Linked DNA regions of Daphnia pulex. The protein of the gene in region 2 interacts with the protein of the main gene of each other region in a biochemical or structural test. Links are inferred from orthologs where the notes say so. Each region holds a gene or a part of one and is shown on either strand. Other genes may lie near its edges.

Evidence for each region.
Region 1: the proteins of dynamin-1-like protein (region 2) and mitochondrial fission 1 protein-like form a complex in vitro, tested with the Homo sapiens proteins (2 studies listed by BioGRID). The link is inferred for Daphnia pulex from reciprocal best matches to the Homo sapiens genes DNM1L and FIS1.

What each region holds. Positions count from the first base shown.
Region 1 is NC_060026.1:16,281,850-16,285,171, forward strand, and holds mitochondrial fission 1 protein-like, read left to right. Parts: upstream 1-1,649; 5' UTR 1,650-1,752; coding exon 1,753-1,797; intron 1,798-1,857; coding exon 1,858-2,067; intron 2,068-2,198; coding exon 2,199-2,304; intron 2,305-2,381; coding exon 2,382-2,470; 3' UTR 2,471-2,703; downstream 2,704-3,322. Other genes in the region: ras-related and estrogen-regulated growth inhibitor-like protein, read left to right, coding at 160-352, 427-575, 642-830, 896-1,414; protein O-mannosyl-transferase TMTC4-like, read left to right, coding at 2,988-3,189, 3,258-3,322. UniProt on the Homo sapiens protein: Involved in the fragmentation of the mitochondrial network and its perinuclear clustering. Plays a minor role in the recruitment and association of the fission mediator dynamin-related protein 1 (DNM1L) to the mitochondrial surface and mitochondrial fission.
Region 2 is NC_060025.1:9,333,654-9,338,209, reverse strand, and holds the end of dynamin-1-like protein, read right to left. Parts: exon of another isoform or gene 4,314-4,556; intron 4,025-4,313; 5' UTR 3,840-4,024; coding exon 3,738-3,839; intron 3,654-3,737; coding exon 3,509-3,653; intron 3,450-3,508; coding exon 3,298-3,449; intron 3,230-3,297; coding exon 2,962-3,229; intron 2,887-2,961; coding exon 2,786-2,886; intron 2,718-2,785; coding exon 2,407-2,717; intron 2,347-2,406; coding exon 2,196-2,346; intron 2,135-2,195; coding exon 1,919-2,134; intron 1,856-1,918; coding exon 1,640-1,855; intron 1,565-1,639; coding exon 1,273-1,564; intron 1,192-1,272; coding exon 923-1,191; 3' UTR 592-922; downstream 1-591. UniProt on the Homo sapiens protein: Functions in mitochondrial and peroxisomal division.

The DNA.
Region 1 (3,322 bases), on a different chromosome or scaffold from region 2:
CGATTTAGGGTTATGTAAAATAAAATCAGGGCAAATACGATTATCGTGCATTTCCCGTCAATTGCGTTGCGGGTTGGTTGCTGGATGATATCAACAGTTGACGGCTGATGCTGTGCGCATGTCCAGGCCAGTCTTATAAAAGGGAGGCTGCATCCAGAGATGACGATCAAACCCAATCACGACTTTGCCCAGTTCTCCAACATCACGCGCCAATTTTATTTCATATCGAAAATGAAGGAATCGTTGGGCAACAAATCAGCGACGACGACCAACAACAAAACCAACAACACTGGAAATAACAACAACCGATTGTGTGTCACCGTTCTAGGATCTACCGCCGTTGGCAAAACAGGTTTGTTAATTTTGAATTTTTATTTGGCGCTAATAAGTGGCGTGAATTAATTTATGCAAAATTTGATTAAACAGCGTTGACAGTTCAGTACCTGACGAGTCGATTCATCGGCGATTATTTCTCCGGGACCGACATGACTTATCACCACTCTTTCGCTTACATGGGAGGATCGCTGAAAACCAACGTCGACATTCTCGACATTTCACGGCCATCCCGCAATGACGTAAGTCGTCATCACGGCTCACATTTTCAATTTGAAAAGCTAATTGATTTTGGGTTATAATTAAAGGTGATTGGTGAAGATGAGGAAATGTTATCGTCAGTAGTCGGCACAGAAAAGTGCATGGCTTACCTGGTCGTCTATTCGCTGACCAATTCCAAAAGTTTCGATCGAGCTCGTGAAATCCTGTCCAGGTTACCTTTCCATTCGCCGAAATATTTGGTGGCCAACCAACTCGACCTCCAACACAGACGACAGGTATGTCGAATTTTTTTCCTATTCCAGGGATTTACATTTAATTTAATTTATTGAAATTTGTTCAGGTGTCGCGACTGGAAGGTCAAACCGCAGCCGATGAATTCGGTTGTCCATTTGACGAATTCTCAGCGGCCGAGCCGCAGTACGAAGGCCAACAGTGGGGAGTGAAAATTGTTTTCCAAAAGTTGATTCGCCAATTGATTTCCAATTCGCACGTTCTTCCATATCCGCGGATGATCCGCTTTTCGTCCTTTTCGAAAATGATTGGCGCCATCGTCTCCAAGACGCGCCACCACTCGGCCAATTCCAACAACAAATCGCAGCACCAACAGCAAAAGAATTTCGCCAACCAGCACAACCGCAAATCCTCCATGTCTTCGTGCAGCGACAGGAGCAGCAACTCGAGTGGCAACAACAGCACCGGAAGTGTCGATTCCATCGCCACACTCACGCCCGACATGAGTCTGTTGCACATCAACAGCGCCCATTTGATTCACGGAGTGAAATCTAAACCCATTCCCATCGTCCACCGAAAGCTTTTGACCAGCTCCAACTATCCGTCAAGTCAAATCGCCTCCATATGAATTATATATATCGATTTTATTATCATCATCAACATTTCTTATGACTGGCACAACCAAAATATCATGCAAAATGTACAGCTACAATATATGTATTTTGATACAAATTATTTATATCTATAAACTTTGAATACAAATTTTTTGAAAAGTTAATTACTGTTTTATTCTTTAAATTGTAGTAAGGTCGTATCCGTTGATCAAAACTGTTTTGCATTTTCAAACATTTTTGAAAATCCCGCCTATTCCGTCTGCTGGAAATCAGCTGATATTCCGACTGACTACGTTTTTCAGCTTGTTGTCATCAGTGTATTGCTCAATATTTGATTGGTAATAATAGCAAAATGGAGGACGTTCTAGACGAAAGTATTTCTGAAGAGGATTTGAAGGTACGTGTAACTCTGTAACAATTGTCATTTTCAATTTATAATGTTTGGACTCTTTGGCAGAAATTCGAGCGACGTTATCACGACAGTTTGACCCAGGGAACAGTAACTCAAGACATCCAGTTCAATTATTCCTGGGCATTGATCAGGAGTAAATATCAGGCAGATATCAAGCGAGGGATTTTTCTCTTGGAGGACTTGTCCAAAGGAGGAAATGATGAGGGCAGGAGAGACTACATCTACTACCTAGCCATTGCCAATGCCAAAATCAAGGTAATAAAAATGATCATACTTTTAGCACTTGAAGATGTCATAGTTGTCATATAAATTATCCTACACTTTGGAGAGATGACATTTTTGATCTATCCTAAAAATCGTGTTTGTTTGCTTTTGTTATTTGACAGGAGTACAGCAAAGCTTTGGGTTACACCAAAGTTCTGCTCCAAGTAGAACCAAATAATCGGCAGGTCAGAACTCTAAAAAATGTCATTGAGAAACGAATGGAAAGAGGTATGAAGTTCTTTTGTTGTGTGCACATCTTCATATTTTTAACCCTTTATTTATTTATTTTTCATAATTATTAACAGAGGGACTTAAAGGCATTGCCATCATAGGTGGAGCAGCATTGGCTTTGGGTAGTCTGATTGGACTGGGGGTAGCTCTGGCAAGGAAGTGATAGCGCTCATTAATGCCACGATACACTTCTTATTCTGTAATCCCTTTTGTCATGCAGATTTATGTTATGTGCTGAACTGCTGTGTTGAATCTGAATGTTGATATTTTCACTATCATAAAAATTTTCTTGTGGAAAACTATATTATACTTTCATTCCTTTCTTTTTGTTTTATTTTCATGAAATTCTAGTGTATCAGAAATGAAAGGTATAATGAACAATTACAGATTTACAGTACATTTAGTGTTGTTAATTGTGCGTTGGTTGCGTAAAAAACAAACACTAAAGCCGCACTAAATGCGCACAACAAAAGGTTGCCGAAACCGATTACTAGACATCTAGTAGCACACACACGATTGACACATGACATTTGACAGAAGCAGCCTTGAGGGCTCGCTACGTAGAATCAGATTCTGTGGGTAGAAAAACTTTCGGGCTTACCGTGGCTCCGGTGTAAATATGCCAATCTAACATGTTTTCATGTGTTGCAACATGTAACCTTTGCTCGAGTTAACTGCGTATGCCAACAAAATTACGTGTAGTTTTAGGGGACAACAGAGTAGGCGGCCAGACAAAGCAAAAGTATTATGATATTCCAATGGCAATGACTAAGACGGCCACGAAAGAAGTTTCCGAGAATGGCGCTGGCAAAGTAAACAGTTACAGAGATTTCACATCAACGATTCATAAACCAGCTGCTCAACAATTATTCATATGTCCAGGTATCGCCTTGATTATTTTTCAGACTCTTTAAAGTTGAAAAATGACATTTTTCCAATTCTGTAAACAGAAGTTTCTCTGAAATGGGGATGTGCAATCATCTTTATCCTGGCGTCAGTGTGCTATTTAAATTCA
Region 2 (4,556 bases):
GGAGAAAAAAAAAACACTCCCTCATTACGCTGATAACGTCTGATCACAAGGCTGTGCCTCATCTGAAAAACGAAGCTATTCAATTCACCCTGAAAAGAAGAAAATTAACCAGCCAAATGGATTCACTAAAAATTAGGGAGGTGAACCGTGAAACACTTGAAAAGGAGTAATTCGTCCTGATTATTCGTCGTTATCGTTTCTTTGCCGACTAATCTCACGAAAATATCCCAAAAACCGGCCGACCCGTCGACAGTTGGGCAACACAAAACACTGATGACGGGAGGGGCTGGACTAGAGTTCTTTTTTTTATCTTCGCATTAAAGAAAAAAGATACAGCACTAGGCATTCGTGGAATTAACCGACGACGAGTCAATCGATGACGAATTTCCTACTGGATTAAAAATGGACGGTGATAAAAACATGCCGAAATCAAACATGACTGCGCAACTGGTTGCCCTTTACATGCTCCGAAGGCCAATTACAGAAAAAAATAATAAACATCACTAAAATCTATTGGCAAAATTTAAAAAAAAAAGGGGCTAAATAGTTTGGTCATCTACAGTTGGAAATATTTTACGTTTTTCCCTCCCATCATTTCAACATTATTTTATTGTACTGAAAATAATAATTAAAAAAAAAAGAATAACATACATCGGACTACATTTGTAAATGTGGAATGAAAAATACTAACTGGAGGAGATTTTACGATATTCTATGCCCATCTCTCAGATGTCTAATTCGCAAAATAGTTGGGAACAGACTACAACTGGACGAAAAAAAAGGAGGGGGGGGGGGGAGCCCTAGAAAAATTTTAATTTTTTTTTTGTATGAGCGATCGAGTGACAGAAGAAGAAAAAAAGACTAGATCACGTATAACGGAGAGCACACTACAATCGAAAAGAATTTAGAGAGAGTATAAACTTCACCAAAAATGGGTCTCCCGAATCTCGCCGATAATCACGCTGGCTCGTTGAAGTGCCTCGAGCATATCCGCAGCTTCTTTGCGGCGCTGAGCTATGTGCTCCGACTCGGCCAGCAATAAATCAATTTGATCGGGGCGATAGAGGTGAGTTACCAATTCCGACTGCAAGTTGTCCTTGACGTGATTGACCAGGAAGTGCATCACAGCTTTCGGCACGGAATCTTGGATCGATTTACGGACGATGTAAAAGTAGGTTTTAATCAGTCGCTCTAAGGAGAAGAAAAGATGAGTTGTTTTTTAATTGGGACGTTGTTCAACTGGAAAATATAAAGTTTGACGTAGTAGTATACCAATAACTTCACAATCCCTCTTCTCTCGCTCAGACAACTTTCGCTCGGGTTGGTGCACAGCTTCCGAGAGCAGATTCACCGGTTTCTGATGCCCGAAAGGGTTCTGAAGTGGAACGGGTGATGCGTGATGAGTAGGCGTCGCGGCCGGGGTGTTTTCACCAGAATTATCGTTCATCATCAAGTCCTCTCGTCCGGCCGGAAGCAAATTGCTCAGCCAATTGGTTTGTTGTACAAAAGGAGCACCACCACCGTTGCTATCAATCAACGAGACTGATGTCTTCTGAACGCGAATCTGTCGGTGGCAGCAACAACAACATCTTTTGTGACGGACAAAACTTTTGGAATCAAAATGTTATCGAAATCGTACTTCTCTAGACGGAGAAGCAGCCTCGCCGTTGGGAATAGCCGGAGGGAAGAGCACTGGTTGTTTTTTCGACGAAACTTGTCTGGATGGTTGAACTTTTTGAGAGACAGGCTCTTCAATGTGAGAATGCATTAGCGTCGATACGAGCGAAGCTTCACGGTGAAAGTCGGGGTGTTTGGTGTTGATATAAGCGAGCTCAATGGCGACAAGGTTTTCAACCTAAAACAACAAACGTGATTCTCAATCAGAGCGGACAACAAGTTTACCCCCACCGGTATTTACCATGATGTTGGTGGGAGGAAGACGCTGTCTCAACAGTGTAGTGACTACGTCAACAATTTTCTCGTGAAGTTTAGGGAAGCGGAGCATTTCCTGTTGAACTTCCGTGCCGCAATGTTGAATGATTCTTTGCATCTCCTCGTGAACCAATTCAATGCACCGCAGCGAAGGATCTTCGAGGCGACGAATTTGACGTTTCACCAACAATTCAAAAGAAACCTTGTAAAATAAATCATGTTAATGCATTGCATGATGTATAAAGGACAAGTTTTTGTTTTACCTCTGGGACAAATAAGGCAGGCCTGGGACCTGTTGCATTGCGAATAGCAGTGAGTATATCTAATGTGGTTAAACCAGATAGTGGATGAATAGAATCTAAAGTCCTTCCAAACGTTTCGTGGAAGATGTAACAAATCCTCGCACCACCACACCTGCAAGACTGAACTATTAGCAAGAATTTGGTTTGTCGAGAATTGATAAATGTCACTCACAGTTCGGTGGTTTCAATATTCCTGGCCGTGCCTTCGATCGTGGCGCAATACGACGAGGCAAACTTGGTGATGATTTGAAGCAAAGTTTGACTTTTATCTCTGACTTGATCTCCATACGAGTGAAGTAGCGCTTGAAATTGTGACATCATCAAATTGACTCTTGTTTTGAGCTCAGGGAGGCAGTCGCGGATGTGGTGCATCAAGAGTCGTTGCAGGGTTTTCCCCAAGTAGGCCGTTCCGTTGCGGGTTGCCAAAGTGGGATAGCGGCGCTGGAGAAAGCTCATTTCATCTTTTAACGCTTCTTCGATGCTCTGGTTTACATAGAAAAAGTTACTTCTCCAGAAACCTAATCAATGTGTATATAGCGTCGAGCATTTACCTTGTTATTTTGTATGTCTTTTTGAGACCGGTTGACTAATCCAATAATGCCGAGTTTAACTGGAATAACTCTGCCACACAGGACATCTATGGCATCAGTTCCTGAAAGAATTAAAAAAATTCAAACTTTAAGCCCCAGCTGAAGAGATAATTGAAGTTGAAACATTAAAAACTCACCTGCATCCATGAGATCTAACTTGGTCATGACAGCTAAGGTTCTCCTTCCCTCTGGATCAACTTCTCTTGCAAGTTTGAGGGCTTCAGAAGTAGCCAAATCTGTCGTGGCTGGAGTGACAGCCAAAATCAAGCTGTTGGGATTGCTGACAAAACTAAAAATAAGTTCATAAATCTTTGCTTCAATGTCCTCTGGTTGGTCCCCAACTGGAACTTTTGTGATTCCAGGAAGATCGACAAGTGTAAGATTGACTACTTTAGTAGAGTAAACCTGCACAATGACATTAGATCACAGTTAATACAGGGGCAATAACAAAGAAATAGAGTCTAATCAATCACCTTCAAGCTCATGGGCTCATGGGCTATTCCCTTGTTGTGCCCTGCTACCCGATCAGTTTCATGTTCAATTTCGCTCAAGACTTCCCTAAAGTCTGTAAATATTTTGTTTTTCAGATGCAGAAACTTTGCCCATTCTTCCAAGTGTAGTGTCCCTGAAAATATTGACCTTGAAATAATTGCAATGAGATGAAAAGAGTATTGCACAAACAACCTTCATCTGCAGAGCGATGTTCTTTATCTTCTAGTGGGGTATAAATAAGTTGCAGGACTAAAGGTCGTCGTGTAACAATTCCAGTTCCTCTCGGTAAGAATGTTCTGCCTACAAGCCCTTCAATGACTGAACTTTTTCCTGAGCTCTACAGGGGGGGAAAAGAACAAAATTTACAATTATTTATTGCCTTAAAGATGGAACTGAATCGAAAAAAGAAATGTTACTGTACCTGCGTGCCGACAACAACAATCTGTGGTAACTGAATCGTATCGGCTCCGACTGTGTGAAAAACATCTTGCAGTTTGTTGATGACAGGAATTAATTGTTCCATGCTTAAAGAAGATCGGCTTGTTCACCACACGTGAATATATTTGAACGTGGGGTTCTAACTAATCCGTATATTACTTCAGTGTACGTTATTAACAGTTTTCCGCTCTTTATTAAGCAGACAACGGTAGACCAATGAAAGAACTCGACGATGGCCACCTGGCGGTCTCGAAAGAAACTGATCATCAGCTGCAATATTATAAAAAATATGAAAATATGAAAAAGAAAATTTAATATGCTGATTCCAAAAAAGGAGAAATCCGCTTCGGCTATTGCGACAGTAAGGAAATAGTTTGATGACGAAAATCAATTTTTGCGGCAACTCTATGCGCCAAACTGAAGGGCATGGAACGCAGAACGAAAAGGGAAAGTCAGATAATCAATAAAAAAATGATAACGCATTTTATCTACATTATTTGATGTTCTCTTGCTGCTGCTTTATAAAAATGTCTCAAGGTGTATAACCACACGCTTAAGTGCAGTTAGATAAAAAAATATTTTTATGGCCCATAAAATTATTATTTCTTTTTTAAGAACGTCAGTTGCAAAGATGAATAAGAATTTATTACCTCGCCCAAGAAATAATTAGATCAACTACGTTACTGGCTTGATAATCAATAATAATCCGAAAAAATATAGGGCGGAATGTTGTAATCGGGCAATCCCGTTAACTATTGTTTATGTTTTCAAACTAGCAGACGATAAAACTCGGTTCGAGTCA